7 linked regions of the Rattus norvegicus genome follow. The main gene of each other region encodes a partner of the protein of the gene in region 2 in a complex. Links are inferred from orthologs where the notes say so. Each region holds a gene or a part of one and is shown on either strand. Other genes may lie near its edges. The genes, in order: Snrnp40, Sf3b5, Ddx42, Dhx16, Cwc15, Htatsf1 and Srrm2.

Region 1 (3,983 bases), on a different chromosome or scaffold from region 2:
AGAGAGGTCACTTCCCATCTGGAGCAGTCATGGCAGACATGGACTTACTGATGGGCTCATCGGGATGGAAGGCCACCTCATTGATGGAGCCAGCATGACCAGGAAGCTTATACAGGATCCTTCTGCTTGTGGTGTCCCACACGTACACAAACCTGCAAGATGCCACAACAAACAAAGGAAGGTCCCTTAGAAGAGGGTCAGAGCACTTGGGCTGGAAGCAAAATGGAGAACGTTTGCTTACTGAACAATCCTCTGGGCTTTGGAAAACAGGACAACACCAACTGAAACAGAGAATATTTGGGGCTTCAAACCAACCAAACTGAGGCCAGGCAGCAGTGCTGCATGCCTTTAATCCTAGCATTAAGATCTCTGTGAGTTTAAGGGCAGCCTGATATACAGAGTTCGTTCTAGGAAAGCCAGGGCTACACAGGGAAACCCTGTCTCAAAAAACAAACAAGGGCTGGAGAGATGGCTCAGTGGTTAAGAGCACTGGCTACTCTTCCAGAGGTCCTGAGTTCAATTCCCAGCAACCACATGGTGGCTCACAACCATCTGTAAAGAGATCCGATGCCCTCTTCTGGTGTGTCTGAAGACAGCTACAGTGTACTTATATATAATAAATGAATAAATCTTAAAAAAAAAAAGAATGCTAAAAAACAAACAAACCCCAACAAAATAGATACAGTCCATGACTGATTATGCTATTTACAGAATTGACAAAATTCTGAAATCACAGAAAGACTATACCTGCAATCCCAGCACTGGGAAGAGGGAAGCCAGGAGGACTATGGGTTTGAGGCCAGCCTAGAATGTACTGAGATGGTCTAAACCCCTATACTCAACAAATGAACAAGAGTTCATTAGTTATGTCCTGTGCTCTCTCCGTGTGGGCTCCAAATCTGAGTAACACACTTGGAATAGTTGGGTATATTGGCACATGCGTGTAAACCCAGCACTTGGTACAAACAGGCTGCAAGACATGGAATTTAAAGGCCATCCTGGGCTATATAAGACCTAAATAGTCTAGACAGGAGGCAGACCCCATCCCTGCCTCTGAGCTAGTGCTCATGCCCTCTGATGCCTATCTCTGCCACGCACAAGCCACTGTCCCTCACCAGCCCCGCCCCAGGCAGAGGGGAAGGCTGACGGCACTGGAGTCAGAATAGTGGGGGCAAGGTCCACAGCATGGACTCACTGGCCAGCTTGTCAGACAACTGCCTTTCTTTCGTTAGAATAGTGGGGGAGGGGCTGGGGATTTAGCTCAGTGGTAGAGCGCTCGCCTAGGAAGCGCAAGGCCCTGGGTTTGGTCCCCAGCTCCGAAAAAAAGAACCAAAAAAAAAAAAAAGGTGGGGGAAAAAAGGATTCTAGCTTTTTTTTTTTTGGTTCTTTTTTTCGGAGCTGGGGATCGAACCCAGGACCTTGCGCTTCCTAGGCAAGCGCTCTACCACTGAGCCAAATCCCCAACCCCTGGATTCTAACTTTTTGAGAACAAGAATATACGCAAAGTGGCACGCAGAATTAGTGACTGCTATTGCTAATGTGAGTGTGTTACACAGCCAGAGCCAATGAAGTCATGTGCTGACCTGAATCCTCTTGGCGGCTCAGCCGGTGCCTGTAACAGGGCTGCGGAGGGTTAGAGGGCACAGGGGGAGGTGATCTGTAAGCAGAAGGGGAAACCCACCAGACCCAGGCACAGCTGGAAAGTGGTTTTCTGAGTTGGATATTATCTCTCAAGTTGGCAGAAACCAGCAGAAGCCTAGATCTCCAAGGGTTTACTTCAAGGCCTTGCTCACTCCTCATGGCTGCCAATTACATGCTAAATTTAGAGGGTTCCTTGTCCTCCCCACACGTGGGCATGTCACCATTTGGTAGAAACCAGGTTACTTATACAACAGAACTGACTGCTGACTTTAGGCTATCAGGGTGGCCTGTGAAATCCAGCCAAGCTCAGCAGAGGAGCACGCTTTCCTTCCACCAAGCCATGTGTCCTCTTTAAGGATTGGTCAGAGGAAGAGGAGCAAGAAGACATTGTAAGTCAGAAGATGTGAGCTGGACACGCTAGCTCACTCCTGCTCGGAGTTCAAGGCCAGTCTGCCGTACGCACTGAGTCTGAAGACAGCCAGAGATCCATGATGACACCTTGTCTTGCAAAGTTTCTAAGCATGTCCCCAAAGGGAACCCCTGCTTTCAGGCCTCTACTGTGAACCTCTAGGCGTCACTTACAAGTCCTTCGTCCCTGGCACTCAGAATCTCTACTCCATCAGATTTTCTCCCAAGTACGCAGCACCACAGACACCAGAACCAGCCTGTATCTGACAGGTGAATTCTGCCCTGTTTCCCATTCACAACTAAGGCCTTGAGTCATTCTAAGTTCATACTCGGGAAAGCCTAGTGACTTGGCAGAGATGGACGCTATCTAACCTGCTTCCCTCAGCGACATTGGCACTTTCCACCGAGCCTGGAGCTGATTCTGAATTATCTTTAACATTGACAGCTATGACCAAATGCTGGGTTGATACAAGGGTGGCATTTGATTGTCACCTCTGACCTAGGAATTTGTCCTTGAAACAGCAAGCGCTCAGAATTCAAGCACCAACCAGTACCCTGGGTTTACAGAGGATGTCAAAAGATTGTTCTGACTGTGAGAGCCATTCACAGAGATGCCCCCAATGTCTGTCTAAATGTAAGGAAGAAAAATATGTATAAAAGTTAGATGTATGGAACAAAGAGCAATGTGTCATGCTAAAGGGAGAGAGGGGGAAGGGAGAGGGTGAAGGAGAAGAGAGAGAAAAGGCGAGGGAGCGAACACTGAGAGAGTGCCATGGATAGCTCAGAGAAGGAGCAGAGTGGTTACTGGGAAGACAGTCTAGAGAGCACTGAGGGAGGTGTGAGAGACCCTGGAGAAGAATGGCAGGAGGGACAGCCTCTAATGTATTACATGACGGGAAGGAGAAGGCAGAGACACTAGGAAGATTATCAGTCTCCAACAGATATAAACACAGTCGACTCTCTAGGCCTAAAAACAAACAGACAGAAAACTACGTGTGTCCAACATGGGCTCTAAACCATTTGTCTTCACACGGCTTCACTTCTGAGAGCCCCTCAGTCACGTGGAAAGCTGTACCTCTGTTGTCTTCACAGTTAGGCATTAGGTGTGGGACCCGCATAGCCACCCCATTCTCCACCTCATACCCAGGGACCCTTACCTGTCTGCTGAGCCAGCTGCTATCTTGCTTCCGTCTGGTGACCAGGAACACCTCAGGAGGTTCTGCAATGAAAAAAGACTCCATGAACAGTTAGTGTGCTAAACCCGTCTCGCTGCACTAGGGGTCAGCTGACTTAATTCCCTACTAGGCTTCAGTATCTCCCAGACGTCATCAGCCATCACACTCCTGCTCAAAACAGCACGCTCTGTAATCTCATTAATTTTTCTTTAAATATTTCCGTATCTTACTTCTAAAAAAAATTCTTATTCATGTATTGGTTTTTCTAGACAGGGTTTTTCTGTGTAACAACATCCTTGACTGTCCTAGAACTCACTTTGTAGACCAGGTTGGCTTCGAATTCATAAAGATCTGCCTCCCAATTGTTGGGAATAAAAAAAAAAAAAAAGCATATGCCACTATGGCCTGGCCTACCTTATTTATTATCAATCTAAGTGTATTATTTTAGGTAATCTGTCTGCAAGTATGTTTGGGCATCACATGTGTGCCCAGCAACGGAGGAGGCCAGAAACAGGCATCATATCCCCTGGGACTGGAGTTACAGACAATTATGTTCTGTGGTTACCAGGAATCAAACCCTGGTCCCCTGAGAGGGCAGTCAGTGCTTTTAACTGCTGAGGCAACTCTCAGGCCTGCTTTGTAATCTTATAATACATAAAACTAGATGCAGAAATGTTTGACCCGGGTTGGGGATTTAGCTCAGCGGTAGAGCGCTTGCCTAGCAAACACGAGGCCCTGGGTTCGGTCCCCAGCTCCGGG
Region 2 (3,139 bases):
CCTTTGTGTCTGGAGCACCAGGACTAAAAGTGTACACCACTACACCCTTGTAACTTTTTTTGTCCTGATCCTAACTCAAGAGATCCCCTAGCCTCTTGGGTGCTGAGATTAAAGGTGTGCACTACCACACTGGTTAGTCACACTGGTTGCTTTTATGATTTTCCTTCAGTAAGTCAAACACACTGCTGCTCTTGGGCCCACTGCAGGGCAGGCCTTGTTAGATGGAAAACACCTTCCCATGCTCTGCGTGGCTATTTCTCTTGATTCCTTGAAATCTGTCCTCAAATGTCACCATCTCGGTCATGTAGCATAAGCGTGGGATTTGAAATTGTAAACTCCTCAAGCTGCCCCATCCCCCTCCATCTTCTAACTCTTGACTAGTTTAGCATATCTGCTTCCAAACTGGCCGGCATAATGTATGTCCTCAAACCTTTGGAAAATGCTCTGGTGAAAACTGAATGGGGAGAGGTGGAGCAGGGTCGGGACAGGACACCATTGTTTGCCAGTTTGTCATTTCTGAAGACACACAAACTAATTACCAAGAAAGGGGGGAGGGGGCTGCAGCATAAAGGGAAGTGAGGTTAATGACAGCAAAGACTAGAAATGGGTGGGAAGGAATGTGGAAAAACTCCATGCTTGAAGGTTTCCTTGGTACCAGACACACTGTAGGCATGAAGAAAATCGAGGTGAGGGAAGATCATAAAAGTGTGTGTGACAACTAAAGTACTTGTCAATAAACGCTTGCCCTGTGCTTCCGCCCCCGTTTTCTAGTCATATTCTCACGAAATCTTGATCCACAGAACTCTCTCCAAATACCTCCCAAAGAACACAGCAATTCAAACCAAAAGATATAACAAATCCTAACTTTATGTATGATATATATTTAAAAAAAAAAAAGGCGAGAACGACATCAACTATCGAAAAGCTGACTCGGAATGCGTCATCACTCCCAGGCAGTCTTCTCCCTCGCTTGCCGATTCTGGGATCACTCCTTCCGCACAGCTCCCAGGAGACCCGACAGTCTCTCGATGACTTGTTCGGAACCGTCCACAGGTAAGCAGGTCAGGCGATACACCCAACGGAGAATGGTCGAGAAGCAGGAGTCAGGAGGATCGGTCCACAGATGGCAGATGGGGAAGGCTGGGAAGCGCTCGCCTCAGTTCTCCTCCGGCTTGTCCGCCGGCGGCCCGCTGGGCTGCAGCATTTTCTCCATCAGGTTGAAACGCACGCGCGCTTTGCTCTCATTCTCAGCAATGGCGAAGTAGTTGAGGAGGTCGAAGTGACCCATGTAGGAGCAGTAGGAATCCCGATGCTGGTTCACAAGCCATTCCCACTTGGTGGTGTCGGCGTGGCCCGTGCCGATGTACTTGGACTGCAGATGCTCGAGCTGGCTGTGGATGGTGTACCGGTCCGTCATCTCGCCGCTCTGTTCTTAGGCTTCGAGGTCAGGCCACAGATGAGAAGCTACCGCTGTTCGGCGTTCAAATCAGAGAGACGCCGCCGCCGCTGCCGCCGCACAAAAGCTCTATTCGTGCTGGCGCAGGAGAAAGACGACACGCAGTCGCAGGAGTACTTTCTTTTCCTAGGCGGAAGGGGAAATAAAGTCTGTTGCGGGATTGGGGTTGCCTAGGAAACAGTGGGCCGTCTCCTCACGGAGCCCGCCTACTTCGAAGAGCGTTGCATGATGGTCCTCTTAGTGGCTCTTGGGTGATCACGTTCTAACCCTCGCGTTGCATTCTGGGACATGTAGTCCAAAGAGTTTGTCTTAGATTGTTTTTGAGGGGTTTTGCCTGGCTTATATAGGACAATGTCCAAAAACCTCGAAGCTTCATCCCACGGCTCCGGGCTACAAAGAAGGAGAAACCTACGTGGGTTTCATAATCCCACTGTCATTGAAATCTCATACTGCCGCAACACAACAGTATGAGCAACGAGGAAAACTAACTCTTGTACCTAGAAGTTAACATGGTGGCATGGTTCCGCCTTGGCCCAAGTTTTGTCTCTTAGGATTTGGGTACCGGGAAAAGTTTTTTTTTGTTGTTTTTTTTTTTTTTTTTGTTTTGTTTTGTTTTGTTTTTTGACTCTCGCTAGCTGCTTGTTGATCAGTGTCAGCACTGGTAGTCTCATTAATGGCTTCCCTAAGGAGTTCCAGGCGCCAGTTTCTCAACCCACCTAGGCTCTGTGGCCTTGGGCAAACAACCCCTCTTTAAGGTCATTCATAGGCTATTCCTTGAAGTCGGATATGGCTCGAGACAAGAAACCTCTTTCTCTTCATCTTGTGTTTTTCTGCTGATTTCTGCCTTATGTTGGGGGTTGTGCACTTTCTCGCATGGTACAAACTACTCAGAAAAAGATAATTGTACTTCTTTCATGGTACTCCCTGAGGATATGCGAATAGCGTGATGAAGATTGTATTCTCAAAAAAAAAAAAAAATCTTAAGAATGGGGTAAGAGCAATCATAGCCAGAGAGGATGGATGATGACAGACAAATTGAAAATACAGGAGTTTGGGGGTACTTTTGTTTATTTGATGTAAGAGGGGGGAGGCGAAGTTTTGTCCCTGAGCTCACAGCAATCCTCCTGACTCCTGAGACTAGAGACTTGTGCAACTCCATCTAATATTTATTCTTCTGTCTAAACTTTGTCATAAAGCATCTTGCCAGGTGGTGGCAGCACACATCTTTTTTTTTTTTTTCTTTTTTTCGGAGCTGGGGACCGAACCCAGGGCCTTGCCGCTCTCCCACTGAGCTATATCCCCCAACCCCGGCAGCACACATCTTTAATCCCAGCATTTTAGAGGCAGAGGCAGGTGGCTCTCTGAGTTCCAGGAGAGCCAGGCCTACAGGGAGAAACTCTGTCCCGAAAAATAAAACCAACCAACCAAACAAGCAGCACCCAACACTTAAATGACACAATACACATCTTTTTTTTTTCTTTTTCTTTTTTTCGGAGCTGGGGACCGAACCCAGGGCCTTGAGGTTGCTAGGCAAGCGCTCTACCACTGAGCTAAATCCCCAACCCCCACAATACACATCTTATTCCTAAAATGTAGATGTACACGGCAATACCCGTGGATTCACCATCAGCCGTACTACACAGAGTTTTATATTTTGTTAGACAACACAGTAGTATGGGATTT
Region 3 (3,983 bases), on a different chromosome or scaffold from region 2:
TTGAAACGGTAAATTTAGCAGTACTCCAGGCCTGGATAATCCTGGAATCCCTCCAAGATGATCATTCCTTCAGTCCTAATGGCTTAGGATTTCAAAGCCTGTGTCTGTCTGGAAGGCTGTCTTTCCCTACATGTCTCCTACATGTCTCAGGGCTGGAAACAAAGTCTGGGGAAGCTGAGTTATCAGGTATCTTCCCTGCAAACATCTGAAAGCACCAAACTGCTCCCAAGCAGCCATAACAGGTCAAAAGTTGGGTTTGTAGACGCCAACTCCAAAATATGGGACTGCCTGGCCACAGCTAAGAAAAAAAATCCAATTATAGATGTTTATAAGGTGACATTTTAGTAAAAAATATAAGCTATTATAAACCTAGAGTGAGTTTTTGTGCCCTAAAAGGCCCTTCCTTTCTCCCTAAGCATTTCCTACTTACCCCTCCTTAAACTCACCCAGAGCAAACAAAAGCTTCCCAGCCCTCTGCTTTCTAGGGCCAACTCAGGTTCCCATGAAAACATCTGAATGAACACCAGATGAAGGTATAATATCTCCACGCTCCAGTTCTCCACCAAGGGCAGGGGGTCTGTATATCTTGGACCCCAACCCAGCCCTGAGACACCTCATTACCAAAATCTTTCTAAAAATAAAATGAAAGACAACTGACCACGCTGATTTTCACATACCCTCTAACTATCCCATCGGCTTTTCTTGCGTTTGGGTGGCTCTGGAACAGCAAAGCCATCAGGTGTCTTATCTGTCTTGCTGTCCACTTTGTCCATCCTGCTGCTGTCCACCTTGGGGTCCATCCTGTTTTCACGATTAAAGCCTTCTTTCCTGCTTTCTCCATTCCTGCCATCATTTGCACCCCGGCTTTCTCCATGTCTGCTTGCACTTCCTCCGTGCCTGGTCTCTCCATGTCGGTGGCCATCCGTATGACGGCTACTGCTTTCTGGGTAACGGTATCCATCTCCATGGCGGCCACCATCTCCATGTCGATTGCCACTGTCTCCATGGCTATGACGGCCACCACCCCGGTTCTCAGTATATCTCTCTCTTTTCCCATTGCCACCCCCAATCCCTTCACGGCTGTTACTCCCTGAAGCTGTGTTGTTGACTCCTTGGGCTCCAATAGAAGGGTAGGTCACTGGGGCACTACTGATATTCCCAGAATTGTTGAAGCCTGGGATGTTCTTGGTAGAACTGGTGATGGGATTGTCAGGACTATTATGGCCCTGCTGTGCTGAATTAGTTGGAACAGAATTTAAGCTTCCTGCACTAGTCCATCCACTTGCCCCAGCAGTAGAGGTTCCGGCCTTCTGATTACTTAAACTGGCTGCAACAAAGTGACTCTTATACTGGGACTGAAAGAAAAAGACACCAGGAATAAGTATACAAGCTTCAATATACAAACAATGTTATAGATAATTCTTAATGATAAAGTTACAGACACTCCACTTCTCTATCCAGGCATGATACTGTTAAAGCCTGTATATGAAATTCAAGTAAACAGAAGGCTCTAATCTAGCATGAAACTTACAGACTCAGCTACCTTCTCAGGAAGGTTTCCTCCCATTTCCAGGAGTTACTGTTGAACAGTTTTTTTTTTTTTTTTTTTTGGTTTGGTTGTTTTGTTTTTTGTTTTTTTAAAAAAGATTTATTTATAAGTGTCATAGTGATTTTTGCCTGTGAATACCGTATGTATGCATGTATGGCACATGCATGCCGATACCTGTGCAGGCCACAAGAGGGTGTCAGATTACCTGGAGCTGAACAAAGATGACTGTAAAATGCTGTGAGTGCTAAGAAAACAAACCTGGATCCTCTGAAAGAATACAAGTTCTCTTATCTACTGAACCATCTCTCTAGCCCCCTCCCTCTTGAAAGTTTTTAAAACAGGATATTTATTTATTTCAGACCTGGAAAGCTGCTTTCATTGCTGTCAGCCTATCTCCCATGGCTCCTGTGGAGGGCTTGTAGGCTTCATAATTGCTCATTACATTGTTGTTACTTCCTCGGTCCTAAAAAAGCAAGCAAGCATACCTATTAGAGAAGCAACTGCAGCACAATCCTGTCACACTGAAACCCTGGGTCCAGGGCTGCAGCAGGCACAGGGTATTTTTTTAGAAGTTACTTCCTTTGTGGGAAAAGGTACAACAATAAGGAGGTATTGAGAAACGCTTAAGTCCCTCAACCTAGACATTTATTTCTGGGAACCAACCCCAATGACCAGAATGCAATCACTGTATGGCTGTATATTGTATGACTGTGTATTTTATCAATGATACGAGTGCATATTATATCAACATTCTATTGAGTAAAAATGTTAAAGATGAAAAGGCCAGTAATATAGCACAATGTAGCATCACAGGATCTGAAGCGACACTATTTAAAGAGATGAATCTGAGATTCAACAATTGCCAGCGTGTAACTGAACTTTCATTAACTGGCACTCATTTACATTAGCTAAACACTGAAATACCTGCAATGGCCCCAGCTCATTTAAAGTGCTTAGTAATTATCATGAATCACTAACATTCCACAACCAACATCATCATAATATGGGGAATACTATCTTCCAATGATGCCAAATTACTACCGAAACTGCATCCAGGCATACTGACAGCTCTGTCCCTGGCTTTAAGAACCTCTGTGACAAGGGACAGGCCAGCCAGTGAGTGCATGTGTGCTTTATGTGATTTGTGAGACCATTTATATCTTCTCAAATTCTTAGGACCAAAGTTTTCAGTGTAGAGACTTTTTCTGAATATAATTCTAGCCAAGTGACCCTCTTAGTTAATGTTTCCCAAGTAACAGATTCTAGGCCAGTATAGACAGGCTTTTAAAATCAGATTACCGCAAGCAGGGCATGCTTTTACTCCCAGCACCTAGGAGGTGGAGGTGGAGGCAGAGGCAGTTCTGAGGCTATCCTGGTCTACAGAGCAAGTTCCAGGATGACCAAGGCCTGTCTCTAAAATTAACCAATCAACCAACCAAAAAGGCCAAAACAACAGTAACAAAAAACCCCACACCATATCATACCAAACCAATCATTTGGTGCAAAATTATGTGCATATATAACCAGCTGGGTCCCATGTCAGTAGGACATTGCAATTTGAGATCTAGCCTACTTAGCCGAGCACACACACTTCGCCCACAGCAGTTTCACTGTGAGGAACAGCACCACACTGACTCACGACACATCGCATGCGCATCCCTGAACCACAGGATTTGGGACTCGTGAGACTTTCAGGTACACCGACTCAGCACAGGTTAAGACATAGGACCTTTGCCCATAGTACTGTTGTACTCTGAACTCACCGAATTCTCAGAGCCCAGCCCAGGCCGCTCTCTATAGCCCAAGCCTCCTCCACCGATGTTCAGCTTTTTGCCTTTCCCTCCTTTGAAGCGTGACTTCCGAAACCAGGCGTTCTGCAAAAAACACAGTTCAAGGTTAAACCCAAGAAGAGAAGCAGACACGGTCACAAAATTAGGTAGGAAGGAGGAGCTTCTTGGTTCATCTTTAGCTGATCTTTTTCTGATGAGAGGAACCTTTTGAAACCACAGATGACTCTGAAATTTCTGTACTTTCTCCTACCACTTCCTAAAGACTGGGATGAGGAGGATTTGCCACCATGCACAGTTTACATGGCAACAGGGATTAAATCTAGGGCTTCAAGCACACCAGGCGAGCACTGTAAACAACAAGCCACATCCCCAACTCCAATATGTATTCTTTTTGGTAGCTTGACACACCAAATTTATCAGTGTGCCTTATCTAAGTGCTCATCTAAGGTGTGCCTTAGTTCCTTCTTCTGGAGCTCCCGGAAGTACAGAGATTAATAAACATAAAACGTAAAATAACTGTTTTACATCGGCCATGTCTAACTTTAGAGGAAAATGATTTATATTTCCTTTTTAAAAAAATGATCTTTTTATTAGTGAATGTGTATCTGTGTGAATTTATTGTCACCAAATGCTGGGGGTGCATT
Region 4 (3,983 bases), on a different chromosome or scaffold from region 2:
GCGTGGGCTGGAAGATTCGAGCCTGCATGTCGGAGGGCAGGTTGGCGTAAATGGGCAACACCAGGAGCTCCCGGATCTTGGAGCCCAGTCTGCGGCAGCGGTCCTGGAGCATCTCGCAGGCAGCCTCAATCTCCTCCTGAATATGGAGCAGGATGGCAGGAGACCTGGAGTCAGTCATAGGACCCACACACCAGCCCCATCCTCCCCGAAACACTCCAACCACTTCCCACCACAGTACTCACCTGTCCCGTTAGGAACACCAGTATATCCCCAGGGGGCTGGGTCACATGGATCTGCAGCACAGACACCACACAGGCTTCCAGGTAGTCAGCCTCTGGGGCCTGGGAAGGAGGAAGACACAGGGTCACAGAAGGGCCACTTGCTCAGGCAGGCTCTTGTCCCTGCTCAATGCCCACCCCTCTCTGGGTGTCCATTAGACCCTTCCATTGGGACATCCTCCTAAGCCAGCCCCAGCTCCTCTGCCTCACACGGAAGCCCATCCTCCCGAGGGGCACCTTGGTATAGAAGATGTCAACTGGAAACCTGCGTCCAGGGATTCGGAAGACAGGGGCATCATCGAAGAAGGCAGAAAAACGAGCAGTGTCCAGTGTGGCCGAAGCCACCAGGACCTTGAGCTCAGGTCGGAATCTAGCAACATCTTTGATCAATCCAAAGAGAATGTCTGTGTGCAAGGTCCGCTCATGAGCTTCATCCACCATCACCACACTGGGGAGAAAGTGGGAGATTGGTGAGGGACAAGCGGCAGGGGCTTAGCAGTGCAGGGCTGGATCAAAGAGAGGGATGGAGGGACCTCAGGGGGAAAGGGGACTGAGTGGGAGGAGGCTAAGGAGAAGTCAAATGTTCCAATTACGTAATGTTGGCAGATGGTGAGCATGGTGGGGGGTTCTGTGATCTGCGGCCCATCCGGGCACTGGCCAAGAGAAGCAGTCAGGACGGGGCTAGTAACATGGCTCAGCGGTAAATGTGCTGGCCACCAAGCCTGCCGACCTCAGTTTGATCCCTCGAATGCACATGGTGAAAGTACAGAACTGACTCCTATAAGCTGTCTTCTGATCCCCTACATGTCCACACATACACACACACAAATATATACACACGTGCACACATACACACACACATATACACATACATATATACACACATATGCACATGTGCGCACATACATACATGTACACACATACACACATACATATATATACACAACTGCATACACACACATACACAAATGCACATACATATATATACATACACATACATACACACAAATACATACACATACGTGTACACATACACACACGTACATACATACATACATACAAACACAATTGTATACATACACATATACACATACATACATACATACACACATACATACATATATACACACCATAAGTACACACTCATACATACATACACACACACACATATACACACACACACACAATTCTTTTTCAAATATAAAAGAACAAAGAGGCAGGGAAGAGTCTAGATTCCTTTAACCTAGGATTAGAACAAGTCAGACATCTCTGGATCAGTCAAGAGACAGCTGTTCTCACTGGAAGAAGTGGAACTAAGAACTTAAAGCAAACAGTGCATGGCCTGGTGGCTCTTCTTGTACTCTCAGCAATGTGACCCACGAGACTGAGGCCAGCTAAGGTTAGATAGTAGATTCCGGGCTAGCCTGGGCTACAGAGAAACCCTGTCTCAAAACACTAAGAACAGATAAGGGCCACCTGGACCCATTAGAATAGAGAGAGATTAAAGGAAGCGAGAATCTCTGAGGGGGAGGTGGGGCATCTTGTGCAAAGCATACACACACACACACACACACACACACACACACACGCACACACACACACACACACGCACGCACACGCACGCACGCACACGCACACACACACGCACACACACACATGCACGCACCTGTAACTTGCGAGGTCAGGCTCAGAGAGGAACTCCCGGAGTAGCATTCCATCTGTCATGTAGCGGAGAACAGTTCGCTCTGATGTGCAGTCCTCAAACCGGATGCTGTAGCCCACCTGGTCACAGACAGTCAAGAGGTTGGAATGACCGATGACCAGACCTGAGGTGTGGGGCCATGCCAGCAACGTAAGAAGCTTCCCTCTCACGAATCCCCAAAGACCTCACCTCATTCCCAAGCTTCACCCCCATCTCCCGGGCCACTCGGGCTGCCACACTCATGGCCGCCACTCTCCGGGGCTGGGTGCAAGCAATCTTCATACCCTTCTTGGTGTAACCCTAAGAGGAGAGAAGGAGGGGTTACTCCTCTGTTAGACATGCTGTTGTGAGCCAGGCAGGGCAGGGAAAGGAGAACAGATGGGATGAAAGCCAGAGAAGGACAGACAGACAAGAGAGAAGCCAAGGGCCCCCGGGGATGCTAAGCCAGCCTGCAGACCTTGGCTTATAGGCAGGGCTCTGCTGGACTTGAACTGACCAGGGACAGATTGGCCGAGGCATACCCAGAAGCAATGGGAGACATGCGGTTAAACAGTAGGAAAACACCTTTTACTTTTAGTTCTCTGGCCCCTGCAGAGGGAAAGCAGGGCCGAGGTCGTGCGGGATGGAAGCCCAAGAGGTTCCAATCTATGATGCTCATCTCACTGCTCCCATGGGAGACCTGCACGTTCACAACTCGTACCAGGTATGGATGTGATGGCGGGGAGAACAAAATGGTAGAAAGAGTGGCCTCGTCAGTCTCAAAAGCCTCATGACTTAGCAGAAAGGACAGGAAAGGACATCTTTACCATCACACAAAGGGGGTCTCCCAGGACTGACTCAAGGGCTGAGTGGGCCCTAAGTGACATGCTGTAACGACTGACCTCCTCAAAGAGGTACTGTGGGATCTGTGTGGTCTTCCCTGACCCAGTCTCGCCCTCGATGATGAGGACCTGATGGTTGGCAATGGCGGTCAGGAGCTCCTCTCGGAAGGGGAACACTGGCAGGCTGCGGCGCACGGCCTGGATGGACTCCTTCTGCTGGGCCTGGGCTGACAGGGGCGGGCCTGATGACGGCTCCTGAGGAAAGGACAGAGGTGCTGAGGTCCCCACCACCTTGAGAGGCCCTCCTGTCATTACCCCGGACTTTCTCCCTCTCACCTCGTCGCCCTGGAGCTGAGCGGCACGGACGAACTCGATGGTCTCGTCCTCCTCCAGCACCAGCTGGTACTGGGGTTCCTGGGCAGCAGCGTCTCGGGCCCCAAACTTGAGGGATGCGGCGTCCAGACGGGCCTCCTCCCAGCGCCGCTGCTCCTCGCCCGGGGCCCCTGATTCCTCCTCGACGATGTCGGTGGCTCGAGCGGGCTACGGGGAGAGCAGCCGAGAAAGCTGAAGAAGACCCTCCCCACCACTGCTTCTACCAGTTATGAACAGGAGAGGGAAGGGAGCAGCCACCACACCGGTTCCCTCACCTGTCCTCGAGTCTCCTTGGGCATGTGGTAGCGATTAGTGGCCTCCAGCTTCTCCTGCTCGCCAGCCGCCCGGTACTCCCGAGCCAGGTCCCGCACACGCCGCTTGTACTTGAGCTCCCGGCGCTCATGGCGGCTCAGCTCCACGTCCCCAAACAGGACCTCCTCATCAGCCAGTTCTGCCTCCAGGTCCTCCAGCTTTTCCCGCTCCCGCTTTGCCAGGTATTCCCGACGAGACTTCTTACGGAGCTCAGGGACCTGGGTCAGGAAGGAACAGTCAAATCCTCATCCTACCAGTGCCACAACACTGTTCCCTGCATGTGGAGTGTGAAAAAAACTCCAAGGAGGAGGCGGGCGTGAGGCCTTCTAGCTGTTTGATATTTCATCAAGTCTCAAAGGTAGGGGAATTACTCCCAGACGCAATGACTGGATCCTGCCGAGGTGACAAGATTTGTAACGTTCTCCTTCTACAACCAAACCCCACTCTTTTCTGGTTCCTGTCAGGCAGTCCCCCTCCTCTAGAGACTGACCACCCAGA
Region 5 (4,431 bases), on a different chromosome or scaffold from region 2:
TGAAAAGATCTCCTGTTCTGTGCAAAGCTAGGAACATCCCTTTAAGGCAATTACAAATCCAAGAGGAAAATGCCAGTGGCCTGAATTGAGGGTTAGTAACAGGGAAGGGAAGCTCAGGGTAATTTTCACAATACTGGGCAAGCATGGCAAGTGAACAGGATGTGATGAGGGAAGGTAGAGGGTCTCCAGCTTTGGGTTGGAGCCACTAATATGATAGCAGCGTCCTTTGTGTGAGGCTGAGAGAGGTGCACACCTTCCATAAATTAAAAAAAAAAAAAAAAAAAGAAAGAAACGAAGCTTTTCACCTTCTACTTTCAGGGGAGGCACATTGGGGGGGGGTTCTTTTATAATTCTCTTTCTTCATTTAAAAGTTCCAAAGGAAGGTCAGGGAAGAACTGAAATGTTCAGTTTTAGGAGATCCTTCCACTTGAGATAAACTGGAGAACAGAATTCTCTTTATCGAGCATTGGCCGTCCCCAAAATCTCAATGATGGACACCAAGACAACGTTGGCGAAGCCATCTTACCCATCTCGTGCTCCTCCTGGCAGTTAGGCCCACTGTTCCATAAATTCTCACTATCGTAAACGCTCACGGCATCTCCTCTCACACTACAACGCTTAATGCATATAGCTATGTATATATATATATATATTTATATATCTTAACAAGCAATGCGACTATAACCCCTGCCTTCAAGGCCAGTGGTTTCGCAGGAATGGTACCTTTGGAAAGCTCGTGGCTGCCCCCGTACTTATTTGCGCCTTCTTCATATCCACTTAAGTGACAACTCTAGTCCCTAGGCTGCGGGGTCTACTGAGGAGCAGGAGCCGTTGGGTCGGTCAGTTGGCAAGCTCTCCTCAGATCTCAACGCTTGCGAGACGCGGACCGGCTCCTGGCGCCTTCCGTCCTCGCAGAACCGCAGCGAAAGAGTCTGGGAGGGGGTCGGGAAAGGAAAAGACGCAAGAGAGATTAAGTAATTGGTTCTCAAAGGCACAAGATGATATTTGGGGTCGACTATGAAGCACCGGTTTCAAACGCCCGCCCCCTAAGCAGCCTTGGCTCCGCCCCTAGGCGACGTCACTCCATCTTTTTCCCGTGTCTCTGCGGATTGGTCACTGGGTCAGCCTCTAAAAGACGGTTAAAAAAAAAAAAAAAAAAAAAAAAAAAAAAAAAAAACCAACTCGGGATTTGCTTCCGGGTGTGGAGTTCGCGTCTTCTACACAGCCGTTGGGAGCGCGAAGATTTTGCTTCCGGGTCTTAGTTGAGTCCCAGGTGTAGAGACTGGAAGTTCTGCATTTTGCTTCCGGTTTTGCGCAGAGATTTCTGGGAGTTAAGGGTCGCAATGGTTCGTGAGTGAGCTTCTGAAGGCACTGCGTCGAACCCCCGCCACAGTGAGTAGCAGGGCATAGTGGTTTGTGGTCCCTGTGCGGGCCGCACCGGGGAGTCGGAGAGCCGTGACTATCGTCCGGGCCGCGGTGCTGGAATGGCGGTCGGGAGCTGCAGCCGAGCTCGGGGCGGTCACCGGCGCGGCACCGCTGACACTGAGAAAAGCAAAGGAGGGTAGGATGGGGTAGAAACTCCCACGTCCCACACGGTCTGTCTGAGCATGCTGCTTAAGCTAACGGAGATTTAGTAGCCCTGTAGTTAGGCTGGAATTCTTATTTGACAGCTAAAAATTGCAAAAGGTTCTCTGGTAGCCTAGGCTAGCTTGGAACTCCCGATTCTATTGCTCTCACCCCCCAAGCTCTGGAATCACAGGAGTAGTACCCAGTCATGCCCAGTTCTTGATGTTTGGTTGAGTGGAGTTCCGATTTTCTTAGGATTGCGTTAAGTTACAGCCTACCAAAGCTTTACGAATGTTGCGGTAACTGCTTTAGAGGGAAATTGAATCAACAAGATTCTGGGGTAATGTTGCCAGTGTAAATGTCATTGGGTTTTAAACAAACTCTAAGACACTCAATAAGTTTGCCTGTAACTTTAAAAGAAATTTGTTTTTTATTGGTCCATTTGCTGTAGTGTGAGGTTTCTGATAAAAATGCAAATCTTGGCCGGACAATTCCAGCAGTGCAGAGGCAGTCTGGTAGATCTCTGGAGAGTCCTAGGCCAGCTTGATCTGCATTGTGAATTCTAATTCAGCCAGAAATACATTGTGAGATCCTATCATAAAAAATAAATAAAACAAAATCTCAGAGAACCTAGTGCTAGTGGGATATAAAAAAAAAATTTAAGTCATTTATTTTAAAAGCCACACTACACTGTTGTCCAAGATCTGACATCACGTGTCAGAAATCTCATAATAATTCTATAGAAGTATCAACATTCCACAAGTGATAGAATCAAGCTAGGAGACTTGCGCAGGGCTACCCAGCTAAAACAGAAGCACAGACTCAGACCTTCAGAGTAGTTATTTATATCAAATAAGAGCTGCCTGGCAGTGCATATCTAGTAAACACCCTGAATTTCATGATTCTGCTCTTTAGAGACTTGTACTGAAGCAAACTACTTAAGCAGTTCTGGGGAGAGTTTTGAGAATGATTTAAGGACAGGTAATTATGAATGATCTATAAAATGAAAGTATAATTAAACCCATGTTTGTCAAAGAATAGAAGATGACAACAGCAGCCAGGCCAACTTTTGAACCTGCAAGAGGTGGGAGAGGAAAAGGAGAAGGTGATTTGAGCCAGCTCTCCAAGCAGTATTCAAGCAGAGACCTTCCCTCTCATACAAAGATAAAGTACAGGTAAGAAGCCTTTCATTTGTCCTGTTCACAGAATGGAACCAACCATGACTTATGATCATGTCTAAATTAATAGTATTTAAGTTACCGATCTTCCAAGAAAAGGCTTTCAAAAAGTTTACAATACAATTATTTGCTGTAGTTGTAAAGTGCTCTACGGTCTTTCAGCATAAGTTCCTATTGAGCAGGGATTGCTGGTGTGGATGAAGCCCTCACTAGTCATGATAACCAGCTCAGTCTTCTGAGTGAGTATGGGAGTTGCTGTAACAGCCCTGAGTGGAGGACTGTTTTCAAGAGACGTCCTGCTGTAGGAAGTTGTGTGATACGGAACCCCACGAGTGTATTAATAGCACTCTGATTGGGATATTGTCCTCTTCCGTTTTGTTCTTGATTGACACTTACATTCTGAATTGTCTCAAGTTGCTATAGCCATATAGGTTCTTTTCCTTGACAACTGGGGGCAACATTTTTGACCTGTTTTGGCTTGTTTTGTTTTTCTACTTAAGACAAACCACACAGGATGCCCCTGAAGAGGTTCGCAACCGTGACTTCAGGAGAGAGTTGGAAGAGAGGGAGAGAGCTGCTGCAAGGGAGAAAAATAGGGACCGTCCAACCCGAGGTATCTGCTGTCCCTCGTGTGTCACATAGTTATGTGATGCAAACTGTTTCCTGGTGATTGGAAACAATTAACATTGTTGTGAGCTATACCTCTTTGATAAGAGACAATAATGAGGTTTATTCCAGTCCCATCTTGTCATGCATTGGTACTGAAGACATGGTGACCTGAAGTGTTTAAAACCATTTTTCAGTTCCTGTCAGTAGACTTTGACTTTACAGCAGCTGGAACCCGCCCGAGGCCTTCTGTCTGGGACTCCCCATGTAATTGATGAGTTTTGAGAGAAGCATCAGTTACCCTTTTTATGTTTCTACCACATGTGAGCATTGGCTAGTCTCCTGAGACGCTGTGATCTGCGTGCTCACTAATTCACCCCATGTTAACCAACAAGTATTTATCAGAGACTTACTTGCCCGTCACAGGGTGGGTCCCTGCTGTCACTGTGCTTTGTGTGGATTCTTTTTGCCCAAAGGTTTCTAAAATGTTACTTAAAATCCAGTATGTACTTCAATATGCTAAATGTTTGTTTTCTTCAGAACACACAACTTCCTCTTCGGTGTCCAAGAAGCCCCGCTTAGACCAGATTCCTGCTGCCAACCTTGATGCTGACGATCCTCTCACAGATGTACGTGTTTTAGGTTTGGGTTTGGGTTAGCTTGTGTTTATTTGTTTGCTTGTTTCAAGCCGCCTCAGTGCTGGAACTGTGGGCCTCTGCCATTGGGCACAGCATATCATATTTTCCTGAAAAAAAAATTTAATACACTTTGGCTTTATGTTACTGAAATATATCACTGACCTCGACTTTGAAGTTTATATTGTTTTTAAAACATCAAGTATTCTTCTGTGTCAAGGACTTTTAGGACAGGTTTAATCCGGAGGGCTGTGTGGAAGCAGTCAGTGAAAAAGGATATGCCCACCCCTGACAGTATTGTCAGTGGTGCAGGAGGTTAGCCTGCCTTGCTTGAACTGCACAGGACACTGTCAGGATGAGTGCCCTGTGAATAGCACATTGAGCATTCTACCCAGGGCTGCCCTTTACTTCCCTTAGATAGGATGCCTTTTTAGACACATAGCGCT
Region 6 (4,567 bases), on a different chromosome or scaffold from region 2:
AGAGACTTATTGGACCAAATACCAACCTTTAGATAACAGCAAAGTCCATCTCCTTTAAGATTTCCTTGATCATCTTTGTAAAGTTTGACCTTAAATTCTTCAGTCTGAGGATCCCTCATAATAATACCAAATTTGGACATAAGCTGTATAAATTCATCCACTGTGATGTCTGGAGGGAGACCTGTACTTTCAGAGAACAATTTTAAAGTGTTTAATGACAGTAAAAGACTTTAGCATTTACCAATGAGAAACCTGAAACTTATGTGAATACAAGGCTAATTTGGGTAAATGAGTACAACAACTTCCTATCTATAAATGTGAAGAGGATTCACATTTTATATATTAAAAATATCAGTTATGCTATGCGTATGTTTCACTAAATGTAAAGGAACAAATTGCTGTGAATTCTCTAAGGCAGGCATACAAAACAGCATGGAACACTGCATAACTTTTCTTCAATCCCTCCTCATTAAATTCCAGCTAGCATAAGCAGGTGAACAAAACACACCGAAACTAAAACTCACTTAGCGCAGTTTCAACACTAAAGGATACCAACGTGAAAACTGCACTGCAACAGGATAAATACCTGACACATATACATTTGTATTTCTGTCTTCTTCAACATGGAACCATCCTAAAAATCAAAGGGAAATAAATAAAACACTTGAAACAAACAACAAGAATTACATTAGGAAATCTTAGCAAAGGCAGTTTCTTCAAAGTTTTAGAATGTCCTCTTTATCTCAGACAACTACGCCTAACTCAAATCCCTACGTATCTTCCAAAAGACATAAACCTTTTGACTGAGAATTACCTTTAGCGTTCTTTCTATCCTTCATGACTATAACCCTATCTTAAAGTGAAAACTCACATTATCATTCTTGCCTCCAACATGTACAATGGACTCACTCATTTTTCCTATCTCATTTTTAAACCCGGACTTTGCAAAGACAGAACCACTTGCCAGATTCAGCCTTTCTCTTTTCTCCCCTCTTTTTGGAGTCAGTGGTTTCCGGGATTTCTTTCTGTGGCGGCTCTTCTACAGTCTTAGTGTTGGCGTCCTGGACATTCCCAGTAGAGCTGGGTGCACCATCACCAGAAAAGCCGTAGTTGGCCTGATACGAAGCAATGAAATCTTCGGTGATCTAGATAAATAAGTCAACACATGGACGGACAAGGTGACTTCACTTGTGGAAACTGTGTTACATTCAACAATATAAGCTAAGACTTAAACAAGTGTTTATACCACAAGTAGTTCTACTAATTAAAATATAATCCAAGACCAGTCACCTTATACGGAAAACGTGTAGTGCAATCAAAGTAGGACAAGGGTGCTCAGATTGCCAAAACCACACGCATAGTTTTAAGTGATGCTACCACTTTTTTCTACATTCTTGTAAACTACTACTTCTTTACAGTATATTTAACAAAAGTGGCCAATACATAAAACAAAAGAAGTATCGAATAACAAGATGGTAAAACCCAAAGTCCACTAGCAATCTATTGCAGTATCTACTTTTGGGTGCCCAGATACCAAATAATAGTTTGTCAGACTATTATAAGTGCTCAGAAAGAAATCTCATCTACATTCGAAAAGGCATTGCAAGTCCAGAAGTTCAATTGTAAATTTTTACAGTTTGGGGTGCTTGAAATATGCGCAAATACAAAATCAGAAAGAATAGCTGAAATAAAGAATTTTGGAACCAACAATCAATCCCCCTGCACAATGGAGAAAAGTTGTGTGTGATTGGCTCTCCAATCGCTTGGTGTGCTGTTAGTACCCTTTGATGCCAAAGTTCCCATGAGGCTAAAACTAACAGAGTACTTTCACCCTACAGTTTATAACACCGGGTTCAACACCAGTTGTGTTATTTCCATGCTGAAACTAAACACTTAGCAATTCCCAAGTACTCGGAAACAAATGTAGAGTTCTCTTTCATCCATTTCCTGCGCATTCCTAGTCATACTCCTGTGCTTAGAGGGTCCAAACTTAGATGTCCTGGAACAAAATTTAGTAGAATAATAAAACAAAACAAGAATCAAGAAAAGTTTATTCGGCAGAATGAGCTGAATGACTGCTTTCTGACCCGGTAAATCAACAAGCTACATTAGGCACAAGCATGTACACGAAGCGTAAGTTAAGTTTGGTTATACAGGATAAAACTCTTATTAATGTGTTTTTCTTGGTGTTTTTCCTCTTTGCAGTAAAAATATCCAGATAAAAATGAACTGTGACCTTCACACACACACACACACACACACACACACACACACATACACAAATTAATAAGACATTAAAAAAACACACTTAAGGCACCACTCTAAGATTTACTTTTCTTTATACATCGGGGCTGCAATAGACTGAACAGACTAGCCACCAACCACCAGTTCAAAGACCAAGTACTTCAGCGGAGCAAACATAAGAGGGATGTCCCGCAAAGGTGGTCAGGGAGCCCTATGTCCCGCTCCACAGTGGGACTCAAGCTACTCTCTTACCTTAGGGAACCAAGCCTTCTTATCAAGGTCCCACTCGTAGGGAGTGTCATCTGGTGGTTGTCCCAAAGAATCAGTTTCTCCAGAGGGCTCATTCTGGGTGTCACCTTCCTTGGGGTCTCCGTACAATTCTTGCATTCGCAACTGCTCATCAAATTCATCGTTCCCGCTCAAGTTGCTGCCACTCATGGTTCTCACGTAGTCCCGGACACAACGGTCAGAGAAGTGAAGAGGCCAAAAGGGCGCTGGAAGAGAGCAGAGAAAGAGAGGTCTGCAGAGCTCAGAACGTGCACTGCAACTCCCCGGCCGCCTCCCGCAGCGCCCCAGCAGACCCTGGGAAGTCTAAGCGGTACCACCCCAACTCCGCCCTCCTGCCCGCCCCACTCGCGCACGCATGCGTCTAGAAACTGCCAGCGCTGTCGCCGCCACCCACCTGGCGGACTCCGCGGGGTCTCAACGCCACCGCTAGGTCTAGGGCGAGGCGGAAGCGCGCAAGCGCGCGGTTACCGCCGCGGCTGGCTCCGGGGGCACTACAGCTTCCTCCGCCACGTCAGGCAACTATTTGAGAACGAAGTCCGCCTCAGACTGATGCGGTCGCCATTGTCCGCGCGTGGCGACGTAAGGATCGCTCGACACGCCCACGTGGCGTCATATGTCCGCGACGCTTGCGCGGACAGGGGCGGGGTTTCAAAGCCTGGCTGCCGCCGCGTGTCCATACTTAATGGTAACTCGCCTTAGAGACGCAACCTGCAGAAATGCGTGGCACCTCGGGAACCTTGGGCTCCTCTGCACTCCGGACGAATTTCGCCGCAGCGATTGCCTGAAAAAGGACGCGGAACTCTTCCAGACGAGCTGGCTGTGTTTGGGCTTTGCGGCAGGCGCCATCTTGGGGAGGTGGGTGGGACCGTGGGACAAGTTTCTCCCGCTTCGCGAAACCTTTGCGCCTCCTTCGCGCAAATCCCCGCCCCTGCGCAGAAGCCAAGGGTTTACTTATTTTTAAATGCTTGCCCTAGGGTACACGCGGCTTTTGTTCACCTTAGTAACCCAAACACCTAATATACTGTTTGGCGTCTAGTGAAGAAGGAGTGAAAGAAAAGTGGGCAGAAGCCATCGCTTCCTAATCTCACCCCGTTTTTTTTTTTTTTTTGTTTTTTGTTTTTTTTCCGGATCTGGGGACCGAACCCAGGGCCTTGCGCTCGCTAGGCAAGTGCTCTACCACTGAGCTAAATCTCACCCCGTTTTTATGCTTCTGGTACCACCCTCAGACTGCAGTAGGTGAGAGTAGCTTTTGCCTGCGGCTTACTGCAACGTGTCAGAGGTGTTCCAGCCTGGAATTTGAAGCTTGACTGTAAACATCCCCTTGTACAAATAGGAGATGAACCATGTGGCCCCATTTCCTTGTTTCTTAGTAAGACAGCCTACTGCCTTACTAAGAAAAGCGGGACTTTTCTCTTAGATGTTTCATGTACCTCGAAAAGGGAAGAGGTCCATATTTTTAAAACAGACAGGCATTTACTGAACTATTAAGTGCCAGGGGGCGATTCTGAGGCAGCTGCTGAGAAGACAGATCAAGGGAGGTTCAATTATAGTTGGCGAACAATAGGGTGGAAGCACCAGATGCTGGACAGCAGCAATTACTTTGTTTTATTTTGTTTTCAGCATCCTTTAATACTCAAAAACTAGACAATTCTAAACAGCTTTTTTTTTTTTTTTTGGTGTGTGGACTACGTTTATCAACAAACAACAACGTCTGTTGCCATAATGTTAACTATGCAAGTAAAATTTTAATCACTAAAAGTAGCAATAAACTATACATGTAGACATCAGTACTATAATCAAGACTTGACTGTAGGGAAAAGCTTCTTAGAAATTATTTCCATTCCAGTCACCTTTGTTTGTAAACACAGTGGTTCAAGCTAGGTTCTAGAACATCTTGGCTCCTCACAAATCTCTGAATCTGATCCCACGTTAACGATGTTAAAAAAATAAAACAGTATTTTTTGTTTCCAAATATATTTATTTTTATGAGGTTCTGTTTTTAGTAGAACTATTGGAGAACTGAATTTATATGCAT
Region 7 (3,983 bases), on a different chromosome or scaffold from region 2:
TGTCCCCACAAGAAAGAAGTGAGTCAGACTCTTCTCCAGATTCTAAACCCAAGGCTCGAACTCCTCTCAGACAGAGAAGCCACTCCGGATCATCTCCAGAGGTTGACAGCAAATCTCGACACTCTCCTAGGCTCAGTAGGTCTGGCTCATCTCCTGAAATGAAAGAAAAGTCAAGAGTGCTACAGAGGGCTCAAAGCGGTACTGATTCTTCTCCTGAACACAAGATACCTGCTCCTCGGGCCCTGCCCAGGCGTAGTAGATCAGGTTCATCAAGCAAAGAGAGAGGCCCTTCCCCTGAAGGAAGCAGTAGTTCTGAGTCTTCTCCAGAGCATCCCCCCAAATCCAGAACTGCTCGAAGAGGCTCCAGGTCCTCAGTGGAGCCAAAGACAAAGTCCCGCACGCCACCTCGACGCCGGAGTTCTCGCTCATCTCCTGAGCTAACCAGGAAGGCTAGAGTCTCTCGAAGAAGCCGGTCTGCCTCCTCATCACCAGAAACCCGTTCTAGAACTCCACCAAGACGCAGAAGAAGTCCTTCAGTATCTTCACCAGAGCCAACTGAAAAGTCAAGGTCTTCAAGGAGGAGGCGCTCAGTTTCTTCTCCCCGTAACAAGACAACTTCAAGGAGAGGCCGGTCTCCTTCACCCAAACCTCGTGGACTCCAAAGATCCCGATCCCGCTCACGTAGAGAGAAAACCAGAACAACCCGACGTCGAGATAGATCTGGATCATCTCAGTCAACATCACGAAGAAGACAGAGGAGCCGGTCTAGGTCACGGGTTACTCGGAGACGGAGGGGTGGCTCTGGTTACCATTCAAGATCACCTACAAGACAGGAAAGTTCCCGAACCTCCTCTAGACGCAGAAGAGGCCGCTCCCGTACACCCCTGACCAGTCGGAAGCGATCTCGATCACGCACATCACCAGCTCCTTGGAAGCGCTCTAGATCTCGAGCCTCACCAGCTACTCATCGGCGATCCAGGTCCAGAACACCCCTGATCAGCCGACGTCGATCCAGATCTCGTACCTCACCCGTGAGTAGGAGACGGTCAAGGTCAGTGAATAGGCGTAGATCTCGATCAAGAGCATCTCCAGTGAGTCGAAGGCGATCCAGGTCCAGAACACCACCAGTAACTCGTCGTCGTTCAAGGTCCAGGACACCAACAACTCGCCGTCGCTCTCGTTCTAGAACTCCACCAGTGACTCGCAGAAGATCCAGATCCAGGAGTCCACCAGTAACCAGGAGACGATCTAGAAGCAGAACTTCACCTGTTACAAGAAGAAGATCAAGATCCAGGACATCCCCAGTCACCCGGAGAAGATCGAGGTCTCGAACATCTCCAGTCACCCGTAGGCGGTCCCGTTCCCGAACCTCTCCAGTGACAAGACGCCGTTCCAGGTCCCGAACTCCTCCAGCCATTCGGAGACGCTCTAGGTCTCGGACACCACTGTTGCCACGCAAGCGCTCTCGAAGCCGCTCACCACTTGCTATCCGCCGCCGTTCTAGGTCTCGTACACCTAGGGCAGCTCGAGGCAAGCGATCTTTAACAAGATCTCCTCCAGCCATCCGTAGGCGGTCTGCATCTGGAAGTAGTTCTGATCGCTCACGTTCTGCCACTCCTCCAGCAACAAGGAATCATTCTGGATCTCGGACACCTCCTGTAGCACTTAGTAGCTCTAGAATGAGCTGTTTTAGTCGTCCTAGCATGTCACCAACTCCTCTTGACCGATGTAGATCACCTGGAATGCTAGAACCCCTTGGAAGTGCTAGAACACCCATGTCTGTGCTCCAGCAAACTGGTGGCTCAATGATGGACGGTCCAGGTCCTCGGATTCCTGATCATCCAAGATCATCTGTTCCAGAAAACCATGCTCAGTCTAGAATTGCACTTGCCCTGACAGCCATCAGTCTTGGCACTGCCCGGCCACCTCCATCCATGTCTGCTGCTGGCCTTGCTGCAAGAATGTCCCAGGTTCCAGCTCCTGTACCTCTCATGAGCCTCAGAACAGCCCCAGCTGCCAACCTTGCCAGCAGGATTCCAGCAGCATCTGCAGCAGCTATGAACCTTGCTAGTGCCAGGACATCTGCTATTCCAGCATCTGTGAACCTTGCCGATTCACGAACACCTGCTGCTGCAGCAGCCATGAACTTGGCCAGCCCTAGAACAGCAGTGGCTCCTTCAGCTGTGAACCTTGCAGATCCTCGAACCCCTGCAGCTTCAGCTGTGAACCTAGCAGGAGCTAGAACACCAGCTGCATTAGCAGCTTTGAGTCTCACAGGCTCTGGGACACCTCCAACTGCTGGAAATTATCCCTCCAGTTCCAGAACACCCCAGGCTCCAACCCCCGCAAACCTGGTGGGTCCTCGATCTGCGCATGGCACAGCTCCTGTGAATATTGCTGGCTCTAGAACCCCTGCAGCTTTGGCTCCCACAAATCTCTCCAGTTCCAGGATGGCTCCAGCATTGTCTGGTGCAAATCTCACCAGTCCCAGGGTGCCCCTTTCTGCTTATGAGCGTGTCAGTGGCAGAACCTCACCTTTATTGCTTGATCGAGCCAGGTCCAGAACACCACCATCTGCCCCAAGCCAGTCTAGAATGACCTCTGAGCGTGAGAGGGCTCCTTCCCCTGCTTCAAGAATGGTCCAGGCTCCTTCCCAATCTCTTCTCCCTCCTGCACAGGATCGGCCTCGGTCACCTGTGCCATCTGCTTTTTCAGACCAATCTCGTTCAATTGCCCAGACCACTCCTGTAGCAGGGTCTCAGTCCCTTTCATCCGGGACTGTAGCAAAGTCCACATCCTCTGCTAGTGACCACAATGGCATGCTTTCTGGCCCTGCCCCTGGGGTATCCCATGCTGAAGGTGGGGAGCCACATGCCTCTACTGGGGCCCAGCAGCCTTCTGCATTGGCTGTTCTGCAACCAGCCAAGGAACGTCGGAGCTCTTCCTCCTCTTCATCATCATCTAGCTCCTCCTCCTCTTCATCTTCATCTTCGTCATCCTCCTCTTCCTCTGGCTCCAGTTCTAGTGACTCAGAGGGCTCCAGCCTTCCTGCTCAACCTGAGGTGGCACTGAAAAGGTGAGGGAATTAAGGGTTCTAAGGAGAAGGGACTCGAGTGGGGGAGTCGGGAGGGAGAAACCTTGTCACAGGCACTTGGCTTTGAGAAAGTATGGGGGACCTTGGCCTTCAAGCTGGGAGTAGAAAGAATGCTGGGTGGGGGCTTTGTGGGGAGGAATGGGACAGATAAAAATCTCCAAAGGTTAATTCTCCAGAGGATAATGATAAGTTTTCCATCTCTACAGAGGACAGAACTAGAGGAAATGGACTTAATTTTACAGCAGGAGGGATGGCAGTTAGACCTCAAGAGGAACTCCCTGGGCTGGAAGGATCTTCAGAGGTCATCCCATCCCTCTCCCTGCCTCCAGGCAGGACGGCCCCTCCCCAGCCAACCTGCACTCACAGGGGCCTCCCCAAGCTGCGGCTCTCCAAGGAAGGAGATCACCCAGCTTCAGCTTCCACATCTGAGTCCAGGGGCCTTAATCCTTCATCAGGGACATTCTTGAGGTTTAACCTTGATCCCTTGTGCTTCGGGCCCCAGCCTGTTGCTTGTGTTAGCAGAGGTTTGGTCAGCTCTGTGCCACTGCTCCAGAGAAGTGCTCACTGGCCTGCCTTCGTGGTTTCCCAGGGCCTTTCAGGCACCCCTCCCCCACTGCCGTTCCTCCAGGCCAAGGAAGGTAGGGTTGGGGTTGGGGCATCTTGTCTCCTTGTGACACCTTTCTTCTCTCACAGGGTTCCCAGCCCCACCCCAGTCCCAAAGGAGGCTGTTAGAGAGGGACGCCCTCAGGAACCAACCCCGGCCAAAAGGAAGAGGCGCTCTAGCAGCTCCAGTTCCAGCTCCTCCTCCTCCTCATCCTCCTCCTCTTCCTCCTCTTCCTCCTCTTCCTCTTCTTCCTCTTCCTCTTCCTCTTCCTCCTCCTCTTCTTCC

The links.
Region 1: Sf3b5 (region 2) and Snrnp40 share a complex: the UniProt entries of both Homo sapiens proteins name them as parts of the minor spliceosome. The link is inferred for Rattus norvegicus from reciprocal best matches to the Homo sapiens genes SF3B5 and SNRNP40.
Region 3: the proteins of Sf3b5 (region 2) and Ddx42 are in contact, whole or in part, in a cryo-EM structure (PDB 7EVN), measured with the Homo sapiens proteins. The link is inferred for Rattus norvegicus from reciprocal best matches to the Homo sapiens genes SF3B5 and DDX42. Residues at the interface, in NP_112577.1 of Homo sapiens: Arg4, Tyr5, Thr6, Ser9, Gln10, His13, Leu14; in NP_031398.2 of Homo sapiens: Asp156, Ala159, Tyr160, Phe161, Tyr163, Met164, Asn167.
Region 4: Sf3b5 (region 2) and Dhx16 share a complex: the UniProt entries of both Homo sapiens proteins name them as parts of the minor spliceosome. The link is inferred for Rattus norvegicus from reciprocal best matches to the Homo sapiens genes SF3B5 and DHX16.
Region 5: Sf3b5 (region 2) and Cwc15 share a complex: the UniProt entries of both Homo sapiens proteins name them as parts of the minor spliceosome. The link is inferred for Rattus norvegicus from reciprocal best matches to the Homo sapiens genes SF3B5 and CWC15.
Region 6: Sf3b5 (region 2) and Htatsf1 share a complex: the UniProt entries of both Homo sapiens proteins name them as parts of the 17S U2 SnRNP complex. The link is inferred for Rattus norvegicus from reciprocal best matches to the Homo sapiens genes SF3B5 and HTATSF1.
Region 7: Sf3b5 (region 2) and Srrm2 share a complex: the UniProt entries of both Homo sapiens proteins name them as parts of the minor spliceosome. The link is inferred for Rattus norvegicus from reciprocal best matches to the Homo sapiens genes SF3B5 and SRRM2.

The regions. Positions count from the first base shown.
Region 1 is NC_086023.1:148,011,882-148,015,864, reverse strand, and holds part of Snrnp40 (U5 small nuclear ribonucleoprotein 40 kDa protein), read right to left. Parts: intron 3,269-3,983; coding exon 3,207-3,268; intron 153-3,206; coding exon 49-152; intron 1-48. UniProt on the Homo sapiens protein: Required for pre-mRNA splicing as component of the activated spliceosome. Component of the U5 small nuclear ribonucleoprotein (snRNP) complex and the U4/U6-U5 tri-snRNP complex, building blocks of the spliceosome.
Region 2 is NC_086019.1:9,175,612-9,178,750, reverse strand, and holds Sf3b5 (splicing factor 3B subunit 5), read right to left. Parts: upstream 1,563-3,139; 5' UTR 1,418-1,562; coding exon 1,157-1,417; 3' UTR 850-1,156; downstream 1-849. UniProt on the Homo sapiens protein: Component of the 17S U2 SnRNP complex of the spliceosome, a large ribonucleoprotein complex that removes introns from transcribed pre-mRNAs.
Region 3 is NC_086028.1:91,676,395-91,680,377, reverse strand, and holds part of Ddx42 (ATP-dependent RNA helicase DDX42), read right to left. Parts: intron 3,424-3,983; coding exon 3,313-3,423; intron 2,013-3,312; coding exon 1,911-2,012; intron 1,356-1,910; coding exon 681-1,355; 3' UTR 1-680. UniProt on the Homo sapiens protein: ATP-dependent RNA helicase that binds to partially double-stranded RNAs (dsRNAs) in order to unwind RNA secondary structures. Unwinding is promoted in the presence of single-strand binding proteins.
Region 4 is NC_086038.1:2,873,068-2,877,050, forward strand, and holds part of Dhx16 (pre-mRNA-splicing factor ATP-dependent RNA helicase DHX16), read right to left. Parts: intron 3,704-3,983; coding exon 3,449-3,703; intron 3,342-3,448; coding exon 3,138-3,341; intron 3,057-3,137; coding exon 2,862-3,056; intron 2,753-2,861; exon of another isoform or gene 2,545-2,752; intron 2,281-2,544; coding exon 2,170-2,280; intron 2,061-2,169; coding exon 1,945-2,060; intron 727-1,944; coding exon 516-726; intron 342-515; coding exon 243-341; intron 165-242; coding exon of another isoform or gene 137-164; coding exon 1-136. UniProt on the Homo sapiens protein: Required for pre-mRNA splicing as a component of the spliceosome. Contributes to pre-mRNA splicing after spliceosome formation and prior to the first transesterification reaction.
Region 5 is NC_086026.1:19,585,646-19,590,076, forward strand, and holds the start of Cwc15 (spliceosome-associated protein CWC15 homolog), read left to right. Parts: upstream 1-1,270; 5' UTR 1,271-1,392; exon of another isoform or gene 1,393-1,561; intron 1,562-2,602; exon of another isoform or gene 2,603-2,607; 5' UTR 2,608-2,610; coding exon 2,611-2,741; intron 2,742-3,244; coding exon 3,245-3,357; intron 3,358-3,890; coding exon 3,891-3,979; intron 3,980-4,431. UniProt on the Homo sapiens protein: Involved in pre-mRNA splicing as component of the spliceosome. Component of the PRP19-CDC5L complex that forms an integral part of the spliceosome and is required for activating pre-mRNA splicing.
Region 6 is NC_086039.1:139,971,303-139,975,869, reverse strand, and holds the start of Htatsf1 (HIV Tat-specific factor 1), read right to left. Parts: upstream 3,129-4,567; 5' UTR 2,927-3,128; intron 2,910-2,926; exon of another isoform or gene 2,739-2,909; 5' UTR 2,683-2,738; coding exon 2,497-2,682; intron 1,146-2,496; coding exon 965-1,145; intron 635-964; coding exon 587-634; intron 182-586; coding exon 27-181; intron 1-26. UniProt on the Homo sapiens protein: Component of the 17S U2 SnRNP complex of the spliceosome, a large ribonucleoprotein complex that removes introns from transcribed pre-mRNAs.
Region 7 is NC_086028.1:13,347,227-13,351,209, forward strand, and holds part of Srrm2 (serine/arginine repetitive matrix protein 2), read left to right. Parts: coding exon 1-3,076; intron 3,077-3,300; coding exon of another isoform or gene 3,301-3,313; exon of another isoform or gene 3,314-3,787; coding exon 3,788-3,983. UniProt on the Homo sapiens protein: Required for pre-mRNA splicing as component of the spliceosome. As a component of the minor spliceosome, involved in the splicing of U12-type introns in pre-mRNAs.